Linked DNA regions of Anolis sagrei. The protein of the gene in region 2 binds, or shares a complex with, the protein of the main gene of each other region. Links are inferred from orthologs where the notes say so. Each region holds a gene or a part of one and is shown on either strand. Other genes may lie near its edges.

Region 1 (11,230 bases), on a different chromosome or scaffold from region 2:
GGTCTCTATGTTCACGGAGATTCACATTTGCCAAACGAATGTGACATCATTTTTACCTTTTCAATAAGGTTATGGTGCACTTAATTCCAATAGGTCATAAAATGTCCAATAGTGCAGAGCAACCACCATCCATCGGGGCTAACAGGTGTCCTGTGAAGAATGGGTACCCAGACTAACACGTACATCCTAACATGTATTTGAACACGGAGTCTGAGGCAGGAGATTATTTGGCATCTGGGGTGATATGGGAAGATTTTCCCATTAATACAGCACACTTGAAAAATTACTAAAGCTAGATAATCAGGGTAAACTGATCTTCCCTGCCCAGTATTTTGATGCTACTTCTGTCTTGCCTCTTGTTCTTTCATCAAGGATACTGCCAAGTATCTCTGGGAATATCCATGACAACAGAACGAATAAAGAAAATTCTAAAATCCCTATTAACATAATATCCTATTAGTGTAATTCTATAATCCCTATTAGTGTAATGCTAACCACAAACATGCAAAAGCTTCTGAGATTTGCCGATCACTTAATCAGACAAGAAGATATATTTGAAAATAGAGAGAGAGAGAGATAAAAGAAGAGATTTGATGTTGAAGAAATGTATTTACATGATTATTTGCGGTGGAAGAGGAGTCTGCAGGTATTGAAATGAGACTATAGTGAGTGATGTGATGGTCTTAAATTTGATCTAGAATAATCCCAGGGATTTGGGGGCCCCTTCTATACTGCTATCCAGACTATCAAAGCAGTTGATTCACATTATCTGCTTTGAGCTGGATTATATGAGGCACCTTCTACACTCCCTTATAAAATCCAGATTATCTGCTTTGAACTGGGTTATACTCAGTGTAGGTAAAGGTAAAGGTTTTCCCCAGACATTAAGTCTACTTGTGTTCGACTCTGGAGGGTGGTGTTCTTATCAATTTCTAAGCCGAAGAGCCGGCATTGTCCGTAGACACCTGTGGCTGGCATGACTACATGGAGCGCCGTTACCTTCCTGCAGAAGCGGTACCTATTGATCTACTCACATTTGCATGTTTTCGAACTGCTAGGTTGGCAGAAGCTGGGGCTAACAGCAGGAGCTCACTTCGCTCCCTGGATTTGAACTGCCAACCTTTTGGTCAGCAAGTTCAGCAGCTCAGTGGTTTAATCCGCTGCGCCACCGGGGCTCTATGGAAGTGTAGACTCATATAGTCCAATAGAAAGCATATAATGTGGATTATCTGCTTTGATAATATGGATTATATGGCAGTGTAGAAGGCCCCTGAGTCTACACTGCCATATAATCCTGTTTAAAGCAGATAATCTGGATTTTATATGGTAGTGTAGGAGGGGCTAGGGAGGGAGGGGAAAAAAAGCAGGAACCTGATTCTCCATTTTCCAAAAATATAAATTCCAGCACCTTATGTGAAATTCAGACTCCTTTATCAATGGAAAATAAGGTCTGATGAATTATATAGCATAGATTATGTTTTTTTAAGTAAATAAAAGCTTAATTAAGTAGCTTTACCTAGCAAAGGGAATATACTGTGAAATGTAAAATTCCAGTTTCAGATAGTATAAATTGATCCTTCTATATGTCTCCTTTTAGTAGCTGTTTTGCAAAGCAACTACTTTCCCTAACTACTAGGACAGGTTCCAGTAGTGATAACATTTTAAAAATTGCTAAGAAAATCCAGATTTAGTTCTCCTGTTTTGGCAGAACAAAAAACAGACCTTTAGCCACTCATTCCCACATTTAAAGAGTTCTAGAAGGCAAAGCTTCCTTTCACATAAAGGGGCACTCTTTCAGAGAGAAACACTCCTTCATAAAAACAGGCAAACCAACCTCAGGGTGAGCTCTGCATTTCTCCAAGGCATCTCCATAGATTTTACTAGGACTGGAAGAAGAGAACAACTCTTTAAAAATCACATAGAATAAACCACCTGAAACAGAGGGGAAATAAAATGTAAATGACACAAGAATTTGTGTACTTAAATGGCCAAAACTTAAAACATTTGTAAGTTGGGAAAATGTTTTCATCCAGTTTCAACAACCTGTGACACCAATCCCGACTACCACCACTATCAAGTAGGTGAAATCTCTTCCAGCTTCTTTCACTAGAAGAAAAAAAAGAAAAGTTATACAATATCAGGTAACACAGCATGCTCCTAGTGGTTTCCTCTAATTTGGTAAAGATATGAAAGTAGCAGCTTTTGTTTCAAAAACAATGGAAATTACTTTACATGTCTCAGCAACCTCAAAAAGTGTGAAGTTGGCCTATTCCTTCTCATCTGAGGCCCTTCCAGATAGGTAATATACCCCAGTATCTGATCCAAGGTTTTCTGTTTATCCCAGATTATCTAGCAGTTGGGACTCATATAATCTGGGGCCCTTCCATACAGGCACTATATACCAAGATTTGATCCCAGGATTTCTCTTTTAAACTGGATTATATGAGTCCACACTGCCAAATAATCTGGGATAAACAGAAAACCTGGGATCAGATCCTGGGATATAGAGCGTGTCTGGATGGTCCCTAAGGGTACATCTACACTGTCGAATCAATGCAGAATGGCATCACTTTAACTGTCATGGCTTAATGCTATGGAATCATGGCAACTAGATCTTTCACCTTCTCTGTCCAAGAGTGTTAATGCCTCATCAAACTATAACTTCCCATTGAGCTATGGCACTTAAAGTGGGCTCAAACTGCATTAATGCTACAGTGAAGTGCATTAATTCTATAGTGTGTAAAGACAGACTAAGGCCCCTTCCACACAGCTGTATAAAATCCACATTGAACTGGATTATATGGTAGTGTGGACTCAGCTAATCCAGTTCAAGGCAGATATTGTGGATTATCTGCCTTGATATTCTGTGTTATATGACTGTGTGGAAGGACTCTAAGTGTCAGAATATTTTTGCACTCTGTCAAGTAGTTTTAAACTGTACAAAGTGCAGTTGTGCGGCTTTTTGATGTCAGTTGTATGGAGGTCATACTTTATATGCTTTCTTTGTGTACCACATTAAAAACCTATTTTGGCTGACAGGCATTCAGACCATAACTTTGGACAGCATATCTGTAAATTCACCTCCTTCCACTGTGGAATTAATGCCGTTTTGGTACCACTTTAATTGCTGTGGCTCGATACAATGGTATAATAATTGTAGTTTGATGAGGATCCAGCATGCTTGGGGGAGAGAAGGCAAAAGTCCTTGCAAAACTACATCTTGCAGGATACCACAGCTCAATTGACAGCAAAGGTGCACCTGTACTATAGAATTAATGCGGTTTGGCACCACATTAAGTACCATGGCTTAATCTATGGAATTTGGGGACTCGTAGTTTGATAAGTAGATAAGTTTGATAGTAGAGGTAAAGATGAAGTATTTTGGCCACATCATGAGAAGAAAGGAAAGCTTAGAGAATTCAATTATGCTGGGGAATATGGAAGGAAAAAGGAAGAGGGGCTGAACAAGGGCAAGATGTATGGGTGGGATCCTTGAAGTGACTGGCTTGACCTTGAAGGAGCTGGGGGTGGTAACGGCCGACAGGGAGCTCTGGCGTGGGTTGGTCCATGAGGTCACGAAGAGTCGGAAACGACTGAATGAACAACAAAAGTTTGATAAGGCCCTAGCCTTTTCTGCCAAAGCATGGTGTGTCACCATACTGCAACTCCCTAGATTCCATAGCATTGAGCCCTGGCAGTTAAAGTGGCACTAAAGTGCATTAATTCTGCAGTGCAGATGCACTCCTTGGAAGGGGATGCACCAAAGTTATGGCACGATGCACCCCATTCATATCAACTGAAAGCAATACTCAGGTTTATTTCCAGGTAAGAGGACAGAAGCATTTCAGCCTTCATTGCCTAACTTTGGTTGACAGCCATAGGCATCTCTTACCTTTCTGAGCAGCTGAGAGAGAGGTCCCTCCTTTCTGGCTTCTTTGCACAGGGACCTGGGAGCTGTTTTGGCCTTTCCCAGCCCTCAAGGCCCCTGCTGGCGTCCACACCTTTCGTGGTAGCCCCCCAGAGGCTACTCTAGGGTGCAAAATATACTCCCCTGGGCTTGCCCCGAGCCTGAAGCACCCCAAAGTCCTTTCACGCGCTTTCCTATGCTGCAAGTGCAACCACTTCCCCAGCACCTTGTCATTGCAGTGCATTCCCCGCAGAAAGGAGGAAAAGACTGCGAAGGGGGGCATGGCTGCCTTGAATAAATATTACCCTTAGATGACACCCAAACTCCTCTCCCCTCCGATGCCAAAGATTGAAAACATTGTCCCGGACTTAACGAGAGAAAGAGGGGTTATATTTCCTGCTGCACTTTGATCAAAAGTAAAAGCAGCTTTTGCAATCTACCCCGCCATTGTGTTTCTTTGCAAGCGTTTCTGGGACATGTAGTTTGCTGGACACACCGATTTGTTGATTGGGTAGCCTCTTAAAGGGAACTACAACTACCATGATGCAAAGGGCCATCGGCTCTTCAAAAGCATTGCAAGGATTTTTCTTTCAGTCTCTCCCTGGCTAATCCTTTCCTCCAGGAAGGAAGTCTAAGCAGAGAGTGCGCCTTCTGCAGGAAAAAAACACTTCTTTTTAAGCCTAAGGATATACACAACATAACTCTTGTGTTTAATACTGAGGAAAAAGGAAGGTTCTCATGCTGTGCTGCTTATATGAGATCATTACTTGCACTTTAGGCTTTGTAAAATTTATTTAGACTTTTATTATAGCCTGCCCGCTGAATAGACAGACATCTCTGCCCCCCCCCCCGCTTTTGCCATTTTATATCTTTACTAGCCGTCCCTTGCCACGCGTTGCTGTGGCCCAGTCTGTGTATATGTGTTTTGTGTGTGTATATATTTGTGTATATGTGTATTTATGTGGTTATGCATAAATACACATGTGGTTACGCTGAATCTCCCAGTGGTGCAGTGGGTAAAACTGCTGAGCTGTTAAACTTGGTAACCGAAAGGTCGGAGGTTCAAATCCAGGGAGCGGCATGAGCTCCCGCTGTTAGCCCCAGCTTCTGCCAACATAGCAATTCGAAAACATGCAAATGTGAGTAGATCAATAGGTACCTCTCCGGCAGGAAGGTAATGGTGCTCCATTTAGTCATGCCAGCCACATCGTCTATGGACAATGCCAGCTCTTGGGCTTAGAAATAGAGATGAGCACCACCACCCCCCCCCCCCCCGAGTCGGACACAACTGGACTTAATGTCAGGGGAACAATGTGGTTATGTGCATGCATTGTAGTGTATTTTTTGGCTTTTAAAGTCTAGTTTTCATTGTTTTTATGAGTAATGGTTACTCATTGGCCTGATAGGTGTATTGTGTCCAAGTTTGGTGTCAATTTGCCCAGTGGTTTTTGAGTTATGTTAGTCCCACCAACGAACATTACATTTTTATTTATATAGATTACTTATTGAACATTTCACTAGCATGTGGCAATTGTACATTGGATGTTTACAGCATTGGTGTACTTCACACAAGGAGTCCAGCAATAACAAGGCGATGCCCACCGTGATCAATATTCTGTGTTTTAATGCTCGGATTTTATATTGCTATTCTGTTTATTTATATTGGTTTTGTATCTTATGCAATTTTCTTTTCTTTTTGTTGTTGTTGTGTTCTTGTGTTATATTGTTTTACTGTATTGTTGGGCGTGGCCTCATGTAAGCTGCCTCGAGTCCCCTTGGGGAGATGGTGGCGGGGTATAAATAAATTATTATTATTATTATTATTAAGGCAATAACAAGAAAAGGGAACAAAGGCCAACAGACATTGCTGTATTTTCAAAGAGCTATTAGTTTGTCACAATACAGGTTAAATATTATTTATTTGGAATGTTTAGGGCAATAATAATAATAATAATAATAATAATAATAGTTTATTTTTAACCTGCCCTCTCTCCCTGAAGGGACTCACAAATGTTGGAGCTTTCATATCCCCCCCCCCCCCCCCTGAATTGCGAACATCTGTATTTATATGTACACACATAATGAGATATCATGGAGATAGGATCCAAGTCTAAATACATAATGTATAGTTTCATATATACCATATACATATAGCCGGAAACATTATACACAATATTTTTAATAACTGCATGAAACAAAGTTTTTATACATTGAACCACTAGAAAGCAAAGTTGATACTATGTGGATGTTTTCAGAATCAGGAATGTTTCATATTTTGGAATAGCAAATAAAAGATACCCAACCCATAATCACAGAGAGAAAGAGAGAACTTGTGACACTCATAAGATTATTTGGTTTATTTTATGGTGTACTTTTGTGGGCTGCAGTCTGTTTCTTCAAGAGGTGGTACAATATCCAGACATACACGCAGTGGCATATTGTGGGAGTAGGAACAGGAAATACAAATACTTCATCACATGTAGGGAAAGTAAGACACATCCTATTGAAGAAAATCATCTTGACACACCTAACATCATGATGACACAATAAATAAATAAATACCTAACATCATAGAATCATAGTGCATCTAAAATAATAAAATCCCAACTGTAAGATATTAAAGATTGGTCACTTCCATGCTGTAGAATAATTCAGTCTGATACCACTTTAATTGCCGTGGTTCAGTGCCATGGACTCAGGAACTTTAGTTTTATAAGGTCTCTAGACTTCTCTTCCAGAGTATTAATAGTTCACTAAAGTACAGGTTCCAGCGTTTCATAGCACTAAGCCATTGCAGTTAATGTATAGTGTCAAACTGCATTATTTCTACAGTGTTGATGCATCTTTGGGCTTCTCTTCTCCATCCTAAACATATTAGCCCAGCAACTTTACCACCAGCTGCAGTAAATCTGGCTATTCAGAAGGTTGGCAGTTCAATGCCTGGTTCAGGGTGAGCTCCTGGCCTTCAGCCCAGCTCCTACCAACCTAGCAGATTGTAAGCAGCAATTGAGAGTAGATAAATAGATGCTGCTTTAAAAGCATGGAGGTATTTAGGTATATGTAAGTAAATGCTAGAAAAATCCTGGCAATTCAATCAAGGAGGAAGTTTATGAACAAAAGCTTTTCAGTAGGGATGATGGAGCGACAGCACCCCTCGTGGCCAGAACTGAGCACAACCTTCGAGATGCCAAAGATGGGAAATTCTATATATACCTCTATCTATGTGCAGTTGTTTTTGAACTGTGTTGTTGCAGGAAAATTCTGAGAGTGCCTTGGACCACAAGAAGATCAAACCAGTCCATACCCCAGGAAATAATACCTGAGTGCTCACTGGAGGGAAGGATATTAAAGGTAAAGATGAAGTACGTTGGCCACATAATGAGAAGACAGGAAAGCTTGGAGAAAATAATGATGCTGGGGAAAATGGAAGGAAAAAATGAAGAGGGGCAGACCAAGGGCAAGATGGTATCCTTGAAGTGACTGGTTTGTCCTTGAAGGAGCTGGGGATGGCAACAGCTGACAGGGAGCTCTGACTTGGGCTGGTCCATGAGCTCAGAAAGAGTTGGAAGTGACTGAACGGACAGCAACAAATGTACAGTTGTCTGTCTTGACATTGTATAAACTGCATTGAATGTTTGCCTTACATATATTCTGTGATCCACTCTGAGTCCCCTTTGGGGTGAGAAAGGTGGAATATATATATTCTAAATACATACATACAATTCATACATACATACATACATACATACATACAAAAACCAACTTTAGAACACTTTGCAGTTTTGTCAGAGATTTTGATATTATTGTGTAGCAAATGAATCTGGAGGGAAGATCTGAAAAAAATTGGGAGACTTTAACAAATCTCATTTTATATACAAAAGGTCTGAAGATTGTTTCTTACATTACATTTATAGTTAATTTTGACTATGGCTGTGTGTATAGCCTGTTCTTTAAAATAAGATTATGCATTAAGCAAAAAAAAAAAACTTCTGGAAAGAAAATGCTTTGACGCTAGTTACTTGCCAACCATATTGTGCACTAATAACAGATGCTGAGATATTTGTGCTAAACCAGTTTAAAGCCCTTGGAAGGTTTATGATTTATGTTCCTAATACAGTTGTTGTATCCCATTGCACTTATATCCCACTCCCACAACTATGTAACTACATATATATTTGAAGTTTGAATGTCGCATCGTGCATCTGAGGATGCAGCTGGAATTACCCTTAAGCAAATTTAATTATGTATAAACACGTAGTCTTTGAAACATTTAGCACTGACAACCCTAGCAGCTATCATTAAATTTATAAGGTCCTAACACTAGAAGTCAATTTGCTTAATAAATGTTAAGTACAGATATATATTTAAAATGTGTACCACATATCTCCCATGAAGTGTGATCCAGAATGTTTAACATCTATCTTATGTGCTTTTTTGCCCATCAGGGCTGGTCAAACACATGTTGCTGCTAGAGGCAAAGTGATAAATGATGCCAGGTTATTCTGGCTCATGCAATAAAAAAATCTTCACGTACTTTTTTAATCATCCCTGGCAGTAAAAATATAAAACAACAAATTAAAAATCTTCGTAATTCACTCACTACCTTTTTGCAACACCAGATTGCTGCTTGAGATGGCCACTCAACATGTTGTGGTGTGCTGTCATGTCATTTCTGACTCACTATAACCCCTAGGTGAATGTATCATGCGGTTGTATTATCCAGATTTGTTCAGAGGGAATTTGCTTTTGCCTTCTTTTGATGCTGAGAGTATGTGACTTCAGATTTACCCATGTTCATTGGGTGGTTTCAATTGTCCTTTTTTGGGGAGCAGCTATCCCCAAGCACCATCATCCGGAACCTGCCTGAGAGGTACGACCAGAACCAGTGCAACACAGTATCACTGATTCCCATTCCCGCCAGGCGTTCCAGAAGGGATACCATGGTTGATCGTATCGAAGACCGCTGAGAGGTCTAGAAGCACCACCTGGGACACACTCCCTTTGTCAGTGTTGAGATGGAGATAATCCACTACATTCAATTTCTGGCAGAAGTTGACCATAGAATCACACTGGAGGACTTAGGCAAACCTTACAGTCCTGATTATCCACGCAGATAATCCACATTATATGCTTTGGATTGTGTGTCTGCACTGCCATATAATCCAGTCCAAAGCAGATAATCTAGATTTTATATGGCCTTACTCAAACCTGTGAATAATAAAATCCACAAAAGTCAAGCCTGCAAATGAGGAGGTCTGACTATAGTTCCATTATGAAGGTGCCACAACAGAGAAGGTCCTGCCTCATGCTCACTGACCCTGTTTATTAGTGTGATAGGACACAAACCAGCTGTTAGGAAGTGTGTGTGTGGGGGGGGGGGGGTGGGTGGAGTCCAAGGGTCCTTCAACACAGCCATATAACGCAGAATATCAAGGCAGAAAATCCCACAATAACTGCTTTGAATTGGGTTATCTGAGTCCACACTGCCATATAATCCAGTTCAATGCAGAAAATGTGGGATTTTATTCAGCTATGTGGAAGGGGCCCAAAGCACCAGGAGGGCCAAAGTTTGCCCATGCCTGATCTACACCACAGAATGAGTGCAGTTTGACGCTACTTTGACCTCCATGACTCAATGCTGTGAAAACATGGGAACTTGTAGTTTGACAAGGCCTGAGCACTCTTTGGCGTAGAAGCCTAAAGACCTGTATACCACCATTCCATAACATTGAGAATCATAACATTGAGCCATGGCAATGTAAAGTGATGTCAAACTGAATTCCTTCTGTAGCATTGATGCTCCCAAAGACTCTGAAGATCCAGATTCGAATCCCACTCAGCCATGGAAAAGCATTGCAAGTCACATTCTCTCAGCCTCAGAGGCAAACTCACTGGGGAGGGGGCAGACCTAATCTCGCTGGGGAGAGAGTTCCATAGCCGGGGGGCCACCACAGAGAAGGCCCTGTCTCTCATCTCCACCAAGTGCGACTGCGATGGTGGTGGGACCGAGAGCAGGGCCTCTCCGGAAGACCTTAAAGTGCTTGATGGTTTATACTACTACTAATATGATATAATAATTATATATTTATATTACATATAATATTACTAATAATATTACAATCTAATGGTATAGTACAATCTCTTTCTCTCTCTCTCTATATATATATATAAATGCTCTGTGCATAATGAGTTCCTTAAAAACAAAAGAACCAATGAACGAAATCACACCAAATTTGGCAACAAAATGTCTCACAACACAAGAAGTGTTGTGAGACATCACTCAAAAATATATATAATTTTGTCATTTGTGAGTTGTAGTTTCTGGGATTTATAGTTCAACTCCATCAACGATGGAATTGAACCAAACTTGGCACACAGAACTCCCATGAGCAACAGAAAATACTGGAAGGGTTTGGTGGGCATTGACCTTGAGTTTGGGAGTTGTAGTTCACTTACATCCAGAGAGCACTGTGGACTCAAACAATGATGGATCTGGACCAAACTTGGCACAAGCACTCAATATGACCCAAATATAAACACAGATGGAGTTTGGGGGAAAATAGATCTTGACATTTGGGAGTTGTAGTCACTGGGATTCACAGTTCACCTACAATCAAAGGGCATTCTGAACCCCATGAACGACAGAATCAGGGCAAACTTCCTACACAGAACCCCCATGACCGACAGAAATTACTTAAGACTATCCAATCCAACTCCCTTCATCAGGGCAAGAAAACGTAAACAAAGTCCTCCTGACAAAGAGCCACCCAACCATAGATATAGATTCATATGATTCACACACACACAGATATAGTATCATAGATTTGAAAGGGATCCTTAAAGAAGGACAATAATATGTTCCATGTTCCAGAGTAGGCAAACCAGACCATCTCCACATCAACACTGAGAAAGAAACAAGAAATATTGTTTACCCACAAGCATAAAGAAATTACATAGATTAGAAACCAACACTTTCTCATTCCCTTTATTTTCCAGATCAACAGACTGGGCCACAGCAACACGTGGCAGGGGACAGCTAGTATAGTAATATTTAATAATATTGTACTATGCTAATAATATAATATATTTTATGTATATATACCTTGTAAGCCGCACTGAGTCCCCTTTGGGGCGAGAAGGGCGGCATATAAATGTCGTAAATAAATAATGAACTTTTCTGATTCACTTTTGCCGAAGACAACTTTGTGACAGTGTTGACATAGGTCAGAAACCAGAAGGCACACAACAGGAAACCCAGGCCCCTTCCACACAGCTGAATAAAATCCCACATTATCTGCTTTGGATTATATGTCAGGGTGGGCT
Region 2 (10,234 bases):
TCAACCTTTGTGTTTAACTCTCCCTTTATTTGATCTGATTTTAGGGATAACAAACAGATCTTGCTTCCAATATTACAATTGTGTTTCACTTTCTCAAATCACATAGGCCTTTTGGTGCCACATTGTCCATCCAGATGAGAACAAATATTCCAAACCTGATGGTGGAATGCTAATAATAATAGTCACACAGCACTAATTTCTAACCAGTTTATACTGTTGGGCAAATCTTGCTGATTCCACCTTCCTTGAACAGTTGCATGCTGCTTCCAGTCCCTCAGGCTGGCATCTGTTGTCACCTGCTCTTCCAAAAGAGCCCAAATGAGCTGACTTTTCTGAATTGTTGTTGACAGCCACCAACAGAATAACTTTTTCACCTGTTTGGGAATTGATATATGCATATATTTTAATTCTCCTATCTGCTTGGGAGTGGATGTAAGACCAACTGCAACTTTCTCTCATGAAATTGTGCCCAAGGAATGCAGACTACTGCAGCAATCATTTGGCATTGAAGTCATGCCTACAATAGTACTGACACTTTTTCATGTCAGGAGCGATTTGAGAAACTGCAAGTCGCTTCTGGTGTGAGAGAATTGGCCATCTGCAAGGACATTACCCAGGGGATTCCTGGATGTTTTACCATCCTATGGGAGGCTTCTCTCATGTCTCCAAATTAGAAGAAGACGGGAGCTCACCCTGTTCCCCGGATTTAAACTGCCAACCTTTTTTTCAGCAGCCCTGCTAGCACAAGGGTTTAACCCACTGCACCACTGGGGGCTCCTTAGTCTTGTCATGACATACCTGTATAATGGTGCTCTGAATAGATTTTACTAGGGGAAAAAATCCCCAGTAATCTATCAATCACAGCTCCAAGATGTTGAAAGCACTGCATTGGCACAAGGTGGCTTCGCCCACGATTCACCAGAAAAACATGCCTGGAAAGTAAGGAGAGCATAGACTTAATGTTTCTGACAACCTATGGGAGAGAAGCAAATCTGGTCAGTGCATCATCCAATTATGGATATAAATGGCTTATTGTTGCCACCAATGAGCCATGAGAGCTACTGTCACTTTTGTAAATATCAGATAATTTACCATCCTCCAGCTCAGATCTTGAAGTTGATTGTGAACCTTGCTAACAATCATCTTCCAAGATATGTGCCTTGGATACTGTCTTTCCTTTCCTTCACTGGAAGAATCTTGGTTACCTAAAGTAGCATGTTTTTTCCCTTTAGGTTTGTTGTCCTGACACAAAATGACCACTCCATTTTTAGATGTCACTTTTGTTCCTTTATTAAAATCTGTGATAACTTTCCCCTAGGAATTCCTAGGTCTTCCAGCATGACTCTGTGGTCACCATCTGATGGAAGCTGACTATAGAATTGCATTAGATAATCTAGATTCCATGAGAGGTGTTATGTCTAGCAATCTCTAGGTCCTCAAGGATCTAGAGATGCGTAGAAAAACATTTAACATCAAATCTGTAAACAATCAAATCTGAAAAAGTAAAAAATACAAATGTGGAGGGGTAACTATAATTTTCTCTGCTGCCTGAGGGCCCTTCCAGACATGACTAAATCCCAGGAGGAACTGAGAAATTAAATCCCAGTTCTTCCAAGGATTGGGTCCCCACCCTGAATGCAAACCCCACACTTTCCTGGGAAAAATAATATCTCTCTGTCCTAGGAAACTGCCACTGTCTTCTAACAATCCCTTAACTTTTTAATGCTATTAAACTCCACTTACTTTTGCTTCATATTGAAAGTCTCCTCACTTTCATTAGTGTTGAATGCATTTCACAGAAAAATGCTTGGGGGAAAAGTTAAATACACTTTATGTTTTGAAAAGGTGTTATTGGACTGTGTTTTGTTCATCTTGGAGTCCAGAATCAATGTTTTAATTTTTTCTTAACCACACCTTTCAACAGATTACAATTTGCCTTTATTTCAGCAGTGGAAGGTGTGGGGACTTCAGAAATAGATAATTAATCTCTATTTCTATCTATAGTTTCATAGTTAACACTGTCTTGGTTGAAGTGTAAAAACACATTCGCACTTGAGGAAATGGGTGATTAGTTGATCAAATGACAATATGAATGGTAGACAAACATAAAAATGGCTGCAAGGTGGAGCTATTTGTGAGCAGGCACATTCTGTACACAGGAAATATATCTGCTGTCATTGACGTACTGCACTTCTCAGAGACCTCAAGCACTTCCAAAAGTTTTCTTCACACATGCACTAGAAAAAGATTCTCGTCTAGAAGAAGTCTGATTTCTAAATTCATTCTTCGTTTCTGTCTGTTGATCCAGGAAGTAACCCCTTTTTTAACAGACCGGTTTTCACAGAGTATCTACACACACTATTGCTTCAAGTAAGTCCCATTCCATTCAGTGGCCCTTCCATACTAGTGGCAGATCTACATTGACCCATTATCATAGTGGCCAATCTGGGATGGTTTACACAACCACCTCTCCCCTGGCTACTGCAGAAGTGGGAGGGAGTCCTGACTGCCCAGTAATACTGAATATGGATTGGTGCGCCAGATGGCCACCCTTTACATACCTTCCTTTTTTCCAGGCGCAACGTGGATCCGGGTAGCAGTCTCCAGACATGATATGCATCCTCACAGTCAATCGTCACTTTCAGTGATGTCAACAGGACCGACTGGTGACAAAGGACGGGGGAGCAGAGTAACTGCCCACTCTCTTTCCTGAGAGAGTGGGCAATTACTCTCCTGAGGATTGTCTTGTCATTCAAGTCGACGTCACAGTAGGAAATTGTTGATCCGAAGGACACATATCATGAATAAACAGTTCAGGTCCAGGCTATTTGTCAAATCGCATCTCCCAGTATAGACTATCATGTGCATTGCAATCTACAGAGGAGGCTCTCCTCTCAGTCCCATCCCTATCACAAGCTAGGTTGGTGGGAATGAGAGAGGGGGCCTTTTCTGTGATCGCTCCCCGTCTCTGGAACTCCCTCTCTTTGCTCCCCGTCTCTGGAACTCCCTCTCTAAAGAAATAAAAACAGCCCTACCCTTGTCTCCTTTAAGAAAAAAACTCACCTATACACTTTAGCGTTTGGAGAGGAGGAGGATTAGGATTGCTGGCTAATCTACGTGTATTAGGCGGTTGTTATGATATATTTTAAATGAAACACCGTTGTCAGCCGTTTCAATGTAATATCTTATAATTTGTGTGGGTGTACATTGTAATGTTTATTTATGTTTTAGTTTTTATGTCTTAATGGATATTTCTTGTTTTTATTTTATTTTGATACTTAATTTCTTTGTTATAAGGTTTCTGTTGTTACCGTCCATTATTTTGATTTGTCTGCAGCTTCAAGGCTTGGCTGCTTCCTGCCTGGCGGAATTCTTTATTGGGTGGTGATTAGCTGGCCCTGGTTGTTTCTTATCTGGAAGTAAGAAACAATTTTGTTCCTTCCCTAAGAACATCGGTCCCCACCTGCTGGCTGGATGATGAATCAGCACTCTACAGGTGGCTGCTAGGCCTCATTAGGCCTCGATTCACCAATCTAGATTACCAGAATAAATGAACTCTGACAGAATTTCTGGCATTTTACTTCTGGACTCTGACAAATGGTATTTCTGACTTCTTGACTCTGACCTTGGCTTCATTTTTACCCTTGTATTGAAACCTGACCCTACTGCTTTTCTGACTACTGACATTCTTGACTCTGGATTGTGACCTTGGCTAATGACTTTGTTTCTTGGCTTGGAACCTGACTCCTCTGCTTTTCAGACTACCGGTATTACTGTATCTGAACTGTGACCTTGACTTCTGTTTGTTCCTGACTTGACTCTGTTGCTTCACCAGCTTGACTTCAGCTTCTTGGACTTTGAATCTTGGCATAGGCTTACACTTCCTGAATCTTGGCATAGGCTTACACTTCTTGGTTTTGGATTATTGGCTTTCGCTGGCTTACTCCTTACTAAATGTGACATCCTGCATATGTAACAAAGCTTCTGACAGAGAAGTTCCTTTTTACGCCTACCCCTTTTCCTCTCTATCTGGAAGGAGCAGTATTGTGAAGATGCTGAAAAAGAGCAGGATAAATACAGATTTTCAGTGTCATGTTGCATAAGCATGTTTTCAGTAAACTATGTAGGAAAACCTTGAGGTGGGAAGAATATTCTGCTCTTTCTGATGCACCTGTAGTTGTGTGTGCCTGCCAGCAACAGGCAAGATAATCAGCAACTGTCCAGAATCTACAGAACAGCAAAACAGAAAGAAAAGGAAAAGCAGAGAAGACTGCCTCACCCCCCCCCCCCCCCATAATGTTAAAGAACGATAAAACTGGGTTGTTGTGTGTTTTCCGGGCTGTATGGCCATGTTCCAGAAACATGTTCTGGAACATGGCCATACAGCCCGGAAAGCACACACAACAACCTAGTGGTTTCGGCCATGAAAGCCTTTGACAGACCATAAAATGATTTGTTTAACCAGTTCAAATGAAGATCAAAAGAAAAGTGGGAGCTGCTGAAAGAAGAAGAAGAAATATTTGGGTGCATTTTGAAAGAATTTTTCAAGTAGCCTCTATAGAGTTTCAAAATGTTTTTATGTGTGTGTGTATATATATATATACACACATTCCAGGATATATGACTATGAACCATAAATGAATTTTGTGTTCAGACTTGGGTCACACCTCTAAGATACTTCATTATGTACAAATATGCAAATAAAATATGGAACCTGTAGTACATTTTGCCTTCTTGTTGCCAAGTCACACATATTGTTTGCAGGCCTCTGTTTCCATCTGTAAAATAAATTTGGAGGATATGGAGCTGTTTTAGGCAATTATTTTCTGTGGACATAATCTGATCCTGCCAGAATTTGCTGAACATGACTATTACGTCCCTCTTACTGAAATGTGGAATGCATGATCATTCTGAGTTAAGCACAGATACAAAGGTGCATCTGAAGGCATGGACAAACTTCAGCGCTCCAGGTGTTTGGGATTTCAACTCCCACAATTCCTAACAGCCGGTTCAGTACTGTGCACTATTCAGATCATTGAAGGTTACCAGATGTTTGCTATATAATGCATTTTGTTGTGGTTTAAAATTGTTTGAAATGTTTTTATGAATTTTGTTGTTATTTTAACCATGTTGAAATTCAGGCTTGTCCCCATGTAAGCTGCCCCGAGTTCTTTTGAGAAGATGGAGGCGGGGAACAAAAATAAAGTAGTAGTAGTAGTTGTTATTATGATTATTATTATTTGAAACACAACGAATTCACAGCAGACAAGATCACTCTGCTGGCTATTGTATTGGATCACACGTCGAACACTTCCCAAGTGTCTAGGACTGTGTGATGGATCGGCAAATAATGCATGCAGATCTCAGTAAGGTGGCCTTCTGCAGCTGGCAGATGGTAATCTTGTCAGCACTGATTGTGTTTAAGTACAGGCCAAGGTCTTTAGCACTGCACTCATTGTGCCGATCACCACTGGGACCACCTTGACTGGCTAGTGCCAGACTCTTTGCAGTTCAATCTTTAAATCCTCATATTGTGTCAGCTTTTCCAGTTGTTTCTCTTCAATCCTGCTGTCACCTGGAATTGCAACATCAACAGTCCATACTTTGTTTTTTAACATGATTGTGAGGTCAGGAGTATTATTATTATTATTTAATGACACCGCTTTAACTGGCACAGCTCGATGCAATGGAATCATGTCACTTTACAAGGCCTTTTATCTTTTCTGCCAGAGTGCTGGTCCTTCACAAAACTACACATTCCAGGAGTCCATTGCACTGAGCCATGACAGTTGAAGTGGTGTCAAACTGCATTGATTCTACAGTGTAGATGCACCTCATGACTCTGTAGACTAGGTCTAGATGACTTTGGAAAATATCTTATCCTCTCAAGACACAAAAGGGAAGGCAAAGGCAAGACTTAGCTTTCTCTGAACAAATCTTGCCCTGGAAATCCTTTGAAAACAGACTTGAAGGCGGGCAACTAACGAGATTGGAGTTGGCAATTCAGTTCCTGCGCAGGCGCAGAAGCACCGTCTGATTGAGAAGGCAGTCCTTTCTTCGCCCTGCTCTAGTGATGACAACGGGGGCGGGACGTACTGAGCATGCGCTGTAGCCTAGCCGGAAATGGTGGACACGCGAGGAGAGAGCGGAGACGGAGAACGTCCCAGAAGTGCGAGCGCTTTTGAGTAACTTGTTGGGCGGAAGGGCTGGGCTGAAGGAATCTCCCTTTCCCTGTCTGTAAACTGACTCTTCTCAAATGGAGATTCCTGGGGGTGCATCTCCTCTGTAGAATTAATCCACTTTGTCACAGCTTTAACTGACATGGCTCAATGCTATGGCTTTTCGCCTCCTCTGACAAAGCGTACTAGTGACTAATCAAACTACAAATCCCATTATTCCATAGAATGGGCCACTGACAGTTAAAGGGCTGCCAAGCTGCATTCATTTCAGAGCACAGATCAGGCATGGGCTAACTTGGGTCCTCCAGGTGGTTTGGACTTCAACTCCCACAATTCCTCACAGCCAACCGACTGTTAGGAATTGTGGGAGTTGAAGTCCAAAACACCTGGAAGGCCCAAGTTTGCCTATGGCTGGTATAAATGCACCCTAGGTATAGATGCTCCCAAGGATTAAGGGACTCCCCAGTGCCACAGCGGGTTAAACCACTGAGCTGCTGAACTTGCTGACCGAACCATTGGCGGTTTGAATCCAGGGAGCGGGTTGAGCTGTTAGGCCCAGCTTCTGCCAAACAAGCATTTTGAAAACATGCAAATGTAAGTAGATCACTAGGTACCGTGGGAAGATAACGGCGCTCCATGCAGTCATGCCAGCCACATGACCTCGGACGTATCTATGGACATGGTGCACCCTTACCTTCCCATCTATTGATCTACGCACATTTGCATGTTTCGAATTGCTAGGTTGGCAGAAGCTGGGGCTGAGAGCGGAAGGTCATGCCACTCCCTGGATTCAAACCTGCGACCTTTCACTCAACAAGCTCAGCAGCTCAGTGGTTTAACCAACTGCATCACGGGGGGCTCCCAGAATGAGTGAATAGTAGGAGAAAAATTGCTCAGTAATAATTATGACGGAATTCTTAAGACTGTTAATATGCTGCACATATCATTAAGAGGAACGCTATATACCATATTATCTTATAAAGTTGTAAGTTTGAAGTTAAGTTAAATGCTGCTTGGAAGTTTTTTCCAGGAAGGCAAAATAGAATCCGGGGAGTGGGGTGAGCTCCGGCTGTTAGGCCCAGCTTCTGCCAACCTAGCAGTTTGAAAACAAGCAAATGTGAGTAGATCAATAGGTACTGCAGGAAGGTAACAACACTCCATGCAGTCATGCTGGCCACATGATCTTGGAGGTGTCTATGGACAATGTTGACTTCAGCTTAGAAATGGAGATGAGCACCACCCGCCACAGTTGGACATGATTAGACTTAATGTCAGGGGAAACCTTGACCTTTACTAGGATTATACTCTGGAGAAGCTGGTTTCACAGCCATTTGTATTGAGAGCTAGCTCAGATATACCCTCCTGCTCATTAAGGCAATTGGGAATGTATTTCCCTTCTTCCTGTGTAGAGTTGCTAGTTAGTGTTCCCTTTCTGCTATGTAGAGTTGCTAGTTAGATTTATTAAGAAATACATGGTTCTTGGAAGTTTTATTTGTTTGGTTTTGGAGCTAGTTATCAGAAAAACACAGCTCCTTGTTTTACAGGTTGAATACTCCTTATTCAAAATGTTTGGGACCAAAACTATTTTGGATTTCAAAATTGAGATATCTTGGAGATGGGACCTAAGTCTACACAAAAATCATTTATGTTTCATATACACTTTATACCAGGGCTCAACAAACATTTTAATCAGAGGGCCAGGTCACAGTCCCCAAGGCTGTTGGAGGGCCGGATTATAATTTGAAAAAAATGAATGAATTCCTATGCACACTGCACATATCTTATTTGTAGTGCAAAAACACTTAAAATACAATAATGAAAATGAAGAACAATTTTAACAAATATAAACTTATTAGTATTTCAATGGGTTGTGTGGGCCAGCTTTTGGCTGGTGAGATAGCGTTGTTGTTGTTGTTTTGTGCTTTCAAGTCATTTCAGACTTAGGTTGACCCTGAGTGAGGGCTGGGTAATGACCTTGGAGGGCCGTATTCTGCCCCCGGGCCTTAGTTTGAGGACCCCTGCTTTATACACATAGCCATGAGGCTGTTTTATACAATATTTTAAATACTTTTTGATTTGTGTTCTTTAAACCATCAAAAGCAAAGGTATCACTCAGGCAACACAAGTGGAGGGTTAGTCTTTTATAGTATTTTGGATTTTGACGTTTGGGAGAAGGGACGTTCAACCTGTATTTAAAGTGTATGTCATAGGTAGCCAAATGGACACAGGAACATAGGAAGCCATGTTGCATTGAGAGAGTTTGATTGCCCAAGGTCACTCAGTGGCTTTCCGTAACTTAATAAGGATTCACACCTTGGTCTCTGTAGCCCCATCTACACTGCCATATAAAATCCAAATTATCTGTTTGGAACTGGATTATATGGCAGTGTAGACTAATATAATTCAGTTCAAAGCAGATTTTATATGGCAGTGTAGATGGGACCTAAGAGTCATAGTACAATGCTCAAATCACCACATTGTTTCTCTCTAGAGATCCATGGCATTTTCTTATATTCCCCAATTCAAGTGCTTGTTTATTTACAGTATTTTTTCATGGGACTGTGAAATGGTTGTTACTATAGGGTCTTGCCTTTGGCTGTGATTAAGATCCCTGAAGCTACTGTCTATATAGGAAGAGAAGTCTCGATTGGTGTCAGGGAAGGGATCGCTCCTTTTACAAGCAGCAGCTTTGGGGAAGCTTTTTTTACCAGGTCACAGCAAAGGGAATAGGAGCCCCTGGTGGTACATTGGATTAAACCCTTGTGCAGGCAGGACTGCTGACCGAAAGGTACATAGTTTGAATCTGAGGAGCAGGGTGAGCTCCCATCTGTCAGCTCCAGCTTCTCATATGGGGATATGAGAGAAGCCTCCCACAAGATGGTAAAACATTCAGGCATCCCCTGGGCAACGACCTTCCAGACGGCCAGTTCTTCCACACAAAGAGTGACTTACAATTTCTCTATTCGCGCCTGAAATAAAAAAGCAAAGGGAATTAACATCTTCACTGTCCTTTGCAGTTCCATTTTCCCTTCCTTCACTGCTTTTTTTTCATTCCATTCACAGAGTTATCATTGAATATAGTTTGGTCCTTAAATTGATCTATTGAACTATAAAGTCTAGGCTTGGTAATCTATGGAATTATGGGAAAAAATATGGATTTATTTTCAGTGACCAAAAATAATGTCACGGAGAATGGCAGTAATGTACTGTACAAGTGAAGGCAGGGTTTTTTTCACAGTTGAATCTCTTGATATATATCAACCAGCAGTTTTCAGATCCCGATAAACTACTACATTCCCAGTTTATTTAAGCACTCCATCTCAGTATTTTAGTCATAGTTTGGGAATATATTGATTATAGTTTAAAGAATCTGAATGAAGTTGCCACAAACCCAAAGCCGCTCTTAATATATGCAATTCTAGTCAGTTCTACATTTAATTGCAACTTAACATTTAAATAGTGCTTGTAACTGGATTCAAAACACCGATAAATAGCAATGCCTGGCTAGTGTTACTCTTCGCTAAAGTGAGTGCTGACACGCGTTTTTATCACAGCTAACATAGGCTATAGAAATTGCCACTTGAGAATGGAGAAAAGTGTTCATCCTGTGGTCTACTTTCAATTCTTAAAGCTTACCTTCTGTCTGTTCAACCATATAGTGGCAGTCTTGGCTGCAGTCCTTTCATCCTGATTCCAGATACATGTTTTATGTTCATCACTTAGCTCCCATGTTTATTTGTTTTGTCCTACCCACTGCACCACACCCCATAGTGTCATACAGAGGGAGGCCAATCTTCTGTTTTGTGTTTTCACCTGTCCTATAAAAACACTTCTTGAGTTTTGAGGAGCTCTATACTGCCAGGTTCAGTTAAGGCACATTCTCACCTGTGACTAGTAAGTGTATGACTGATATATGAATGTCGGAGACCTTACTCTTGGGACCATTCTTTCTAGCTGCAAGATGTTCTGAAAAAGCAGTGTGTTTGGCTTTGGCAATGTTAAACTCCTTAAGTGACTGCCATTGCCACTCCATTTTTGCTGTTCTGTGTATCTCT
Region 3 (10,338 bases), on a different chromosome or scaffold from region 2:
GAGAGTTCACAGCTTTGTATAGATTTCAGGTCTTTCCAAATTTCTTTCCACAACTCACATCATCTTTTGTTTTCTCACTTGGATTTCTCTTTCTTCTAGGCTTTGGGGTGAGGGTGAAGCATTGCAATGCATTTCACGGCAGAACATACCACATCACATTTTTATATGTTCTGAAAGTGCTAAGAACAGATTGAGCTCCCTCTGTTGGCATTAGAAAAGAAGGCATAGGTCACAACAGTTGTATATCCATCCTTTTAAAAAAGGGATCCAAAAGGAAGGAGAAGACAGCGAGTCATGGAAATGGGGAAAGTCTGATGAGTTTTGTTTGGAACTGTTCATCATTTCCAAATTGGGGGAACGGAAGCAATTTAAAAGAAAAATTGGTCTATTCTGCAGAAAGAAAGTAACATGTATCTGTTTCTCATATTTGATTATGATATATGAGTATACTCGCAGCAAAAGGAACATTTGTTGTTGTGTACCTTAAATAAAGCAACCTTATCACTAGGTTTCCAGGAGCTGAGCAGAGCATCAGACATCAGGGTGCATCTACACCAGGCATGGGCAAACTTTGGCCCTCCAAGTATTTTGGACTTCAACTCACACAATTCCTAACAGCCTGTTAGGAATTGTGGGAGTTGAAGTCCAAAATACCTGGAAGGCCCAAGTTTGCCCATTCCCGATTTACACTGTAGAAATAATGCAGTTTGTCACCACTTTCATTGTCATACCTGAATGCTATGGAATCATGGGATTTGTAGTTTGGGGTGGCTTATTCTCAAATAGCATCCCTAAAATCCTGATTTTCCCCGACATACAGTTTGTATTATTCAAAAAGCCAACTTCTACACTGCCATATAAAATCCAGATTATCTGCTTTGATAATCTGGATTATAAAGCAGTGTAGAAAGAGCCACAGAGAGTGAAGCTAGGTCTAAAATTTCAGCTTGTAGGTTTTCTGACAATACGGTCAATGTCATTTTTTGACAGTTAATGCTGTCTCAATGCATGCTCTTTCTATGCTCATTATCTATTAAAAAAGGCTCTTTTTCAAAAACAAAAACCAAGTATTCTAAGTAGCCAGGAAGATATCAGGAAAAATCATGGGAATGAAAAATGTGAGATTGCTATGCTCAAACCTGACAATGCCAGTTTTTGCTAATGAATACAATTTGTGCTTGATAAAGTTAAGTAATAAAATAGAACAACTATCACATGGGCAGTAGTCATATTCGAGGCACAATTGATTTGAGTCATCTGCATCGAATTCAGGGTAATATAAGTGTCCAACTTCATGTACAGTATTTGGTGAGACTATGCGGGAATATCCTGTCAACTGACATTAATTTTCTTGCAGCTGATTATATTTTTTATTATTACTCATACAAAACATTGACTTATATATGAAAGTAATCGTTGTGTTTTGGACTTTTTTTTCAGATTTCTTGCTATATTCAAATGCTGAACAAAAATATATTTTGATATATTTTGTATAGCTTGCAATGTTAAAAGAACACTGAGGCTGAGTCTACACTACACTATATCCCAGGATCCGATTCCAGATTGTCTGCAATGAACTGGATTATATGAGTTTACAATACCAGATAATCTGGGATAAGAAAATAATCTGTGATCAGATCCTGGAATATAGAACAGTGTAAATCCAGCCTATGCCCCCCCCCCCCCCCCCAGACAGGCCCTATATTCCAGGAGCTGATCCCAGGTTTTCTGTTTATCCCACATTATCTGGCAGTGGGGACTCGTATAATCCAGTTTAAAGTAGAAAACCTGGGATCAGATCTTGGGGTATAGGCCTGTCTGGAAGGTCAGTAAGATGAGTGGCGTGTTTGGAATGGAAGTTATTTCACTTTTCTGTGTTCATGCACTCGCTAGTGAACTCCATGCTCTATATCAGAGAGTCTTCCCCCTCTCCACTGCCACCTGTTGACCACTGTGTACATTTTGATTTTAGTTTTTAAAATTTGTATGGCACAATATATATTGATATACTGTGTATGAGGCCTGCTAGAACCATAAGAAATGCAAAATACTCACTGGTAAGAACTCATTCTCAAATTGCCCGCCTGTGGGGTGTGTGCCTCATGTTGGGAACCAGGACACTAGGGGCCCTTCCACTCAGAATATCAAGGCAGAAAATGCCACAATATCTGCTTCGATCTGGATTATCTGAGGAATTGTGGGAATTGAAGTCCAAAACACCAGGAGGGGCCAAGTTTGCCCATGCCTGGGTTACACCCTTTCCCCTTTCACATGTTAACCATTCACAGATGGGCGACTTCCATCTTATTTTACAGTGGTCCGGTGGCACAGTGGGTTAAACCGCTGAGCTGCTGAACTTGCTGATCGAAAGGTCGCAGGTTCAAATTCAGGGAGCGGGGTGAGCTCCCACTATCAGCCCCAGCTTCTGCCAACCTAACAGTTCAAAAGCATGCAAATGTTAGTAGATCAATAGGTACCGCTCCGGTGGGAAGGTAACTGTGCTCCATGTGTGGGATTTCTGGGAGTTGGAAGTCCAAAACACCCGAAAGACCAAAGGTTGGGAACCACTGCTCTATATCTTCTGCAATGAAGATGGGTACCTTCAGTTCCAATGGGCCAACCACTTTCTATGTCATTTTCTTTTTTAAAAAATATTCTATACTAAAATAATTTTGATTATTAGTCCTAATGTTGTCATGATAATTCTCTTCAAAATCATAGGTGGCCGAGTTGGTAAGATATCCTTTATATGAAGGAAGGATTAGTATATGTAAGAACCCCAGTATTGTTCATTGACTGTCTTAAATTTGATGGTATCTTTTCAGATCGGCAGTACGCATTATAGCTGAGCTTCTATTATTATTGTTGTTGTTGTTGTTGTTATTATTATTATTTAAAACTTGTGTATCCCGATCTTCTCTACCTCCATAGAGGGACTCAGACTGGCTAATAGCAAGGATTGAATGCTAACAATACAATCTAAAACATTGTACAATAAATTAAAATACATATAGACTAAAATACATAAAAGACAGTTCGGCAAGATAAAATCACGTCCCACTCAGTCTGCATATGTGGTCGATAACTTTAATCAATTGCCAGTCTCCGCCATCATTCTGAGAATGCCTCGTTCCATAGCCAGGATTTCACTAGCCTCCTGAAGGTCAGGAGGGAGGGGACAGATCTGATCTCAATCAGGAGAGAGTTCCATAGCTAGGGGGCCACCACAGAAAAGGCCCTGTCTCTTGTCTCCAACAGACGCGATTGCGAGGGTGGTGGGACCGAGAGCAGGGCCCCTCCAGGACATCTTAACAGCCTTGATGGTTCTTGTCTTAGTTTTTAATTAGTTTTAATCAGTTTGTCTTTTAATCGTTACATGTAGCCCACCCATTGTCACTGTGCCTGTGTCTATTGTAATTTTTTATATTGTTATGTATCCACATATTTTATGTAATTATGATGTTACTGTTTATTGTTCGCATTTTCGGTTGTGTCTTGGGTTTTCTTTATTGTAATTGTTGTTCGGGCCTGGCCTCATGTAAGCCGCTCTGAGTCCCAATCGGGGAGATGGTGGCGGGGTATAAATAAAGTTTATTATTATTTATTATAGGGGAGGATATGTTGGGATAAGTAAACTGGGCTGGAACCGTATAGGGTTCTACTAATTCACATTTTACTACACCCAAACACTATATGGCTGACCGAAAGATCGCAGGTTCAAATCTGGGGAGTGGCATGACCTCCTGCTGTTAGCCCCAGCTTTTGCCAACCTAGCAGTTTGAAAACGTGTAAATGTGAGTAGATCAATAGGTATTGCTCCAACGGGAAGGTTATGGCACTCCATGCAGTCATGCCAGCCACATGACCTTGGGGGTGTCTACAGACAACGCCGGCTCTTCGAGATGAGCAGCAACCCCCAGAGTTGGACACGACTGGACTTCATGTCAGAGGAAAACCTTTACCTAATTCCCACAGGATGACATTGCTGATCACATGGGCATGCACATTGGCCCTTCCTTCCTTTGTGGGCCTGAAGCCTGGAAGCTGGGCTGGCTTAGTGTTTCCTAAGCCTTGACCTTCCTGATGTTTTGGACTGCAGCTCCCATCATCCAGGCTGGCTGAGGCTCCTGGGAGGGGGCGTCCAAAGCAGAGGGCTCTGGAGCATCCTAGGGGAGCTTTGCCTAAGGCAGGATCAGTTCAGGGGGAGGAGAGGACTTACTGTAGTCCTCCAGGTGCATCAGGGGCCGGAAGTAGATGGGGTACAGGGCCGCCCCCACCAGGCCCACGAAGCCCCCGAAGACCAGGAGGGTGCGAGGCAGGCGCGCCATCCACGCAAGAAGAAGCTTCTGCAAAGAGCCCGCACGACTCCACAGGAGCCTTCTTTCCGCTTCCGGGACAGGAAGAGTTTGGATGTAAGCACCTCCCTGCAACGCCCCCTCGTGGCCGCAAAGGGGAACAACCCATGCTTCACTGTCAGCTGAACAGATTCACTTCCTCATTTGGCCAACATCTTCTACGTCAGTGTTTCTCAGCCTGGGGGGTCGCCAAAGAGCATAAGAAAACACTGTATTTTCTGTTGGTCATGGGGGTTCTGTGTGGGAAGTTTGACCCAATTCTATCATCGGTGGAGTTCAGAATGTTCTGTGATTGTAGGTAAACTATAAATCCCAGCAACTACAACTCCCAAATGTCTATTTTCCCCAGACTCAACCAGTGTTCACATTTGGGCATATTGAGTATTCGTGCCAAGTTTGGTCCAGATCCATCATTGTTTGAGTCCACAGTGCTCTCTGGATGTAGGTGAACTACAATTCCCAAACTCAAGGTCAATGCCCACCAAACCCTTCAAGTATTTTCTGTTGATCGTGAGAGATCTGTGTGCCAAGTTTGGTTCAGTTCCATCATTGGTGGGGTTCAGAATGTTCTTTGATAGTAGGTGAATTATAAATCCTAGCAACTACAACTCCCAAATGTCTATTTTCGCCAGACTCCACCAGTGCTCACATTTGGGCATATTGAGTATTCGAGACGTTTGGTCCAAATCTATCATTGTTTCAGTCCACAGTTGTCCCTCGATGTAGGTGAACTACAACTCCCAAACTCAAGGTCAATGCCCACTAAACCCTTCAAGTATTTTCTGTTGATCATGAGAGATCTGTGTGCCAAGTTTGGTTCAGTTCCATCATTGGTGGGGTTCAGAATACTCTTTGATTGTAGGTGAACTATAAATCCCAGCAACGACAACTCCCGAATGTCTATTTTCCCCAAATTCCACCAGTGCTCACATTTGGGCATATTGAGTATTCATGCCAAGTTTGGTCCAGATCCATCATTGTTTGAGTCCACAGTGCTCTTTGGATGGAGGTGAACTACAAGTCCCAAACTCAAGGTCAATGCCCACCAAACCCTTCAAGTATTTTCTGTTGATCGTGAGAGATCTGTGTGCCAAGTTTGGTTCAATTCCATCATTGGTGGGGTTCAGAATGCTCTTTGATTGTAAGTTAACTATAAACGCCAGCAACTATAACTCCCAAATGACAAAATCAACCCCCCAGTAGTCAAATTTGGGAGCATTGGGTGTTTGTGCCAAATTTGGGCCAGTGAATAAAACTACATCCTGCATATCAGATATTTACATTACAATTCACAACGGTAGCAAAATTACAGTTATGAAGTAGCAACGAAAACAATGTTATGGTTGGGGTCACCACAACATCAGGAACTGTACTAAGGGGTCGCAGCATTAGGAAAGTTGAGAACCATTGTTCTACATTGTTGTTGTTCATTGCTGTTCCTCACTACTTTATATAATATTTTTTGAGAAAGAGCCATGTTGGATTAGGTTGAATGCTTATCATTGAATCATAGAATGATTGACTTGGAAGAAACCTCATGGGCCATCTAACCCCCTGCCAAGAAGCAGGAAAATCACATTCAAAGCACCCCTGACAGATGGCCATCCAGCCTCTGTTTAAAAGCCTCCAAAGAAGGAGCCTCCACAACACTCTGGGGCAGAGAGTTCCACTGCTGAACAGCTCTCACAGTCAGGAAGTTCTTCCTAATGTTTAGATGGAATCTCCTTTCCTGTAGCTTGAAGCCATTGTTTCATGCACTGGTTTGTAGTGAATTAATTTGATAGTGGATTTATTTCATGCCTTCTTGGAAGGCACGCAATAAATCCACTATTTCCAGGTCTGGACTGCAGAATACTGCAGTCCAGACAGTATTCCCACAGTTTACGGGGCTAGAACAGCCAACTGGGATCCAATTGCCAACCTGTCTTATTTTCTTTCTGGGGAAAATCTACACTCAGACCCCTTCTACACTGTAATATAAAATCCAGATTAACTCATTTGAACTGGATTATATGAGTCTTCACTACCATATAATCCAGTTCAAATTAGTTAATCTGGATTTTATATTACAGTGTAGAAGGGGCCTGAGTGTAGATTTTGAAATCCACAAGTATGTCAACAGAAAGGAGGAAACCAGGATAATGAACAAAATCTGGCTACAAGCCCTCTACAATCAGGACAGTAAATAAAGGGCAACACTAAAAAAAACCCAGTGGAATTCTAGACAGGGAGAAGTTGGGTCCAAGTAACATCTTCCAACAAAGGATCCTCCAGGTAGCAACCAGCCAGGCTTTGAAGCTACAAGGCCATTCAGTGTTAATCAAGCTGGCCAATTCAACATTCACACTTGCCTCAAGCAGACAATAGTACTTACTCCCATCCTGGGCATCGTTCTACAGATATATAAACTTCACCTGCCTAGTTTCCAACAGACCTCACAACCTCTGAGAATGCCTGCCATAGATGTGGGTGAAATGTCAGGAGAGAATGCTTCTGGAACATGGCCATACAGCCTGGAAAACTCACAGCAACCCAGTGATGCCAGCCAGGAGTTTTAAGATAGTGACTAGTATCTATTTGTGTGCTTTTGTTTTTGTCTTTTATTTTTGATATGGTCAGTGGACTACTCAATAAATAGATCTATCTATAGCAGTGTTTCTCAGCCTGGGGGTCGGGACCCCTGAAGGGGTTGCGAAGGGATGTCAGAGGGGTCGCCAAAGACCATCAGAAAACACAGTATTTTCTGGTGGTCATGGGGATTCCATGTGGGAAGTTTGAGCCAATTCTATCGTTGGTGGAGTTCAGAATGTTCTTTGATTGTAATGAACTATAAATCCCAGCAACTACAACTCCCAAAAGTCAAGGTCTATTTTCCTCAAGCTCCACCAGTGTTCACATTTGCGCATATTGACTATTTGTGCTAAGTTTGGTCCAGATCCACCATTGAGTGAGTCCACAGTGCTCTCTGGATATAGGTGAACTACAACTCCCAAACTCAAGGTCAACACCCACCAAACCCTTCCAGTGTTTTCTGTTGGTCGAGAGCGTTCTGTGTGTCAAGTTTGGTTCAATTCCACCATTGGTAGGGTTCAGAATGCTTCAAATCCATCACTGGTGGAGTTCAGAATGCTCTTTGATTATAGGTGAACTATAAATCCCAGCAACTACAACTCCCAAATTACAAAATCAATCCTCCCCCAACCCCAGTAGCATTTACATGTGGTTGCATTGGGTATTTGTGCCAAATTTGGTCCAGTGAATGAAAATACATCTTGCATATCAGATATTTGCATTATGATTTATAACAGTAGTAAAATGACTGTTATGAAGTAGCAACGAAAACAATTTTACGGTTGGGGGTCACCACAACATGAGGGACTGTATTAAGGGGTCACAGCATTAGGAAGGTTGAGAACCACTGATCTATAGAATCATGGGAGCTGTAGTTTTACTTAGTCTCTTCTCCCAAAGAGTTCTGGAGCCTCCCCAAACTGCAAAGCCATGCTTCCAGAGAGCCATGGCAATGAAAGCATGAATTCTGCCTGTCCTGGATAAGAGGCACCCAACTTTGTCCTTTCAGGGTGAAGAAATAGGCACAGCCAGGAGGGGATCAAAGGGAGGAAGAAGAGAGCTTAGGTGGTGAATTCTGGTTCAAAAAGAAACCATCAAGTCTGCAGGAAAGGTGTGTTTCAGGTGTAGGACTGGCTGAAGTCTTGGAAAGGCACCTTTCCAAGAATAAGCGCCAGAGGCGCAAGAAAAACAGATCCTGAGCCGGGGAGTGCTTTCGGGTGCCTGTGGCTGCACCTGCCTAGTCTGGGCGGCCCTTCCTGCTTCCTTCTCCTCCTCCTCCTCGTCCTGGGAGGCATGTCCAGGAAGCAGGATCTCCTTCCTCCTCCGTGGCCGGATTTCCAGGGAGGAGACGCGGTGGGCACCGCGATGGAGAGCTTTGCGCCCTCACCTGTGCCTTCCCCTGCGCGCTTTGGAAGCAGCCACAACCTGGGCTTCATCTCCCTCCCCAAACGTTGCCTGCTGCTGCTCTTGCTGCTGCTGGTGAGTCGCATCTGGGGTTGCCCCCCTTCATATTCACGGGGTGCCCACCCTACATGTGTTTGGCAGGATGGGGTCCGGGTGCCATTCCCTGGTTGCCACCAGAAGCAGCCAAACGGGCTCCCCAAGCACTTGGCTGAGCCCCAAAGCCCCTGAGCTCACATTCCTTCCACAAGCCTCATCCATTCTTTCACTATTATTTAGGGGCCCTTCCACACAGCCCTCTATCCCAGAATATCAAGGCAGAAAATCCCACATTATCTGAGTGTGGACAATTATTATTATTATTATTATTAATGATAACAACAACAATAATAATAGCAGAAACCCCAGGAGCTACCCAATCCAACTCCTTTCTGCCATGCAGGAAAAGCACAATCAAAGCACCCCAGACAGATGACCATCCAGACTTTTTAGTAGTAGTAGTAGTAGCAGCAGCAGCAGCAGCAGCAGCAGAAACCCCAGGGGCTACCCAATCCAACTCCTTTCTGTCATGCAGGAAAAGCACAATCAAAGCACCCCAGACAGATGACCATCCAGACTTTTTAGTAGTAGTAGTAGTAGTAGTAGTAGTAGTAATAGCAGAAACACCAGGAGCTACCCAATCCAACTCCTTTCTGCCATGCAAGAAAAGTACAATCAAAGCACCCCAGACAGATGACCATCCAGACTTTTTAGTAGTAGTAGTAGTAGTAGTAGTAATAGCAGAAACCCCGGGAGCTACCCAATCCAACTCCTTTCTGCCATGCAAGAAAAGCACAATCAAAGCACCCCAGACAGATGACCATCCAGACTTTTTAGTAGTAGTAGTAGTAGTAATAGCAGAAACCCCAGGAGCTACCCAATCCAACTCCTTTCTGCCATGCAAGAAAAGCACAATGAAAGCACCCCAGACAGATGACCACCCAGACTTTTTAATAGTAGTAGTAGCAGAAACCCCAGGGGCTATCCAATTCAACCCCCTTCTGCCGTGCAGGAAAAGCACAATCAAAGCACCCCAGACCTTTTAGTAGACTAGGACACAGAACGATGGCTTCAAACTACAAGAAAGGAGATTCCATCTGAACATCAGGAAGAACTTCCTGACTGTGAGAGCCATTCAGCAGTGAAACTCTCTGCCCCAGAGTGTGGTGGAGGCTTCTTCTTTGGAAGCTTTTAAACAGAGGCTGGAAGGTCATCTGTCAGGGGTGCTTTGAATGCAATTTTCCTGCTTTTCGGCAGGGGGTTGTACTGGACGGCCTATGAGGTCTCTTCAAACTCTATGAATCTATGATTCTATTACTCAGATAACCGAGTTTAAAGCAGATATTGTGGGATTTTCTTCCTTGATATTCTAGGACATAGGGCTGTGTGGAAGGGCTCTGTATCTATAGCTGGGTTCACTCTTTTCTTTGTGGTTCTTCCTTTCTTTCCTCAAGGTTTTGACGAAGGTTATGACGAAGGGCCCTTCTACACAGCCCTATATCCCAGAATATCAAGGCAGAAAATCCCACAATATCTGCTTTGAACTGGGTTATTTGAGTCCACACTCATACAATGTGGGATTTCCTGCCTTGATATTCTGGGATATAGGGCTGTGTGGAAGGATCCTCCATTGCCCACATATACCTTCTTCCTCTCTCTTGTCACCTGTTTTCTCCCCTCCAGACAGGCCCTATATCCCAGGATCTGATCTCAGGTTTTCTGCTTTAAACTGGATTATATGAGTCCCCACTACCAGATAATCTGGGATAAAAAGAAAACCCGGGATCAGATCCTGGGATATAAGACCTCTTTGGAAGGGCCCTGGATTTCTTTACCTCTTCACACCCCTCATTGATTTACACTGGCAAACTGAAGAGGCTCCAACATTTTTGTTCTTTACACAGAACTACATGAAATCTGGACACAAGTGTATGTACTGCTTAGACATGAAAGAGATTGCATGGGCCATCTA

Evidence for each region.
Region 1: CMC1 (region 2) and TIMM21 share a complex: the UniProt entries of both Homo sapiens proteins name them as parts of the MITRAC (mitochondrial translation regulation assembly intermediate of cytochrome c oxidase complex) complex. The link is inferred for Anolis sagrei from reciprocal best matches to the Homo sapiens genes CMC1 and TIMM21.
Region 3: CMC1 (region 2) and SMIM20 share a complex: the UniProt entries of both Homo sapiens proteins name them as parts of the MITRAC (mitochondrial translation regulation assembly intermediate of cytochrome c oxidase complex) complex. The link is inferred for Anolis sagrei from reciprocal best matches to the Homo sapiens genes CMC1 and SMIM20.

What each region holds. Positions count from the first base shown.
Region 1 is NC_090024.1:72,467,565-72,478,794, reverse strand, and holds the start of TIMM21 (mitochondrial import inner membrane translocase subunit Tim21), read right to left. Parts: upstream 4,401-11,230; 5' UTR 4,191-4,400; coding exon 3,893-4,190; intron 2,107-3,892; coding exon 2,044-2,106; intron 1,933-2,043; coding exon 1,835-1,932; intron 1-1,834. UniProt on the Homo sapiens protein: Participates in the translocation of transit peptide-containing proteins across the mitochondrial inner membrane.
Region 2 is NC_090026.1:83,826,375-83,836,608, reverse strand, and holds the start of CMC1 (COX assembly mitochondrial protein homolog), read left to right. Parts: upstream 1-6,063; 5' UTR 6,064-6,123; coding exon 6,124-6,169; intron 6,170-10,234. UniProt on the Homo sapiens protein: Component of the MITRAC (mitochondrial translation regulation assembly intermediate of cytochrome c oxidase complex) complex, that regulates cytochrome c oxidase assembly.
Region 3 is NC_090025.1:112,996,953-113,007,290, reverse strand, and holds the start of SMIM20 (small integral membrane protein 20), read right to left. Parts: upstream 4,411-10,338; 5' UTR 4,329-4,410; coding exon 4,220-4,328; intron 1-4,219. Other genes in the region: SEL1L3 (protein sel-1 homolog 3), read left to right, coding at 8,220-8,405.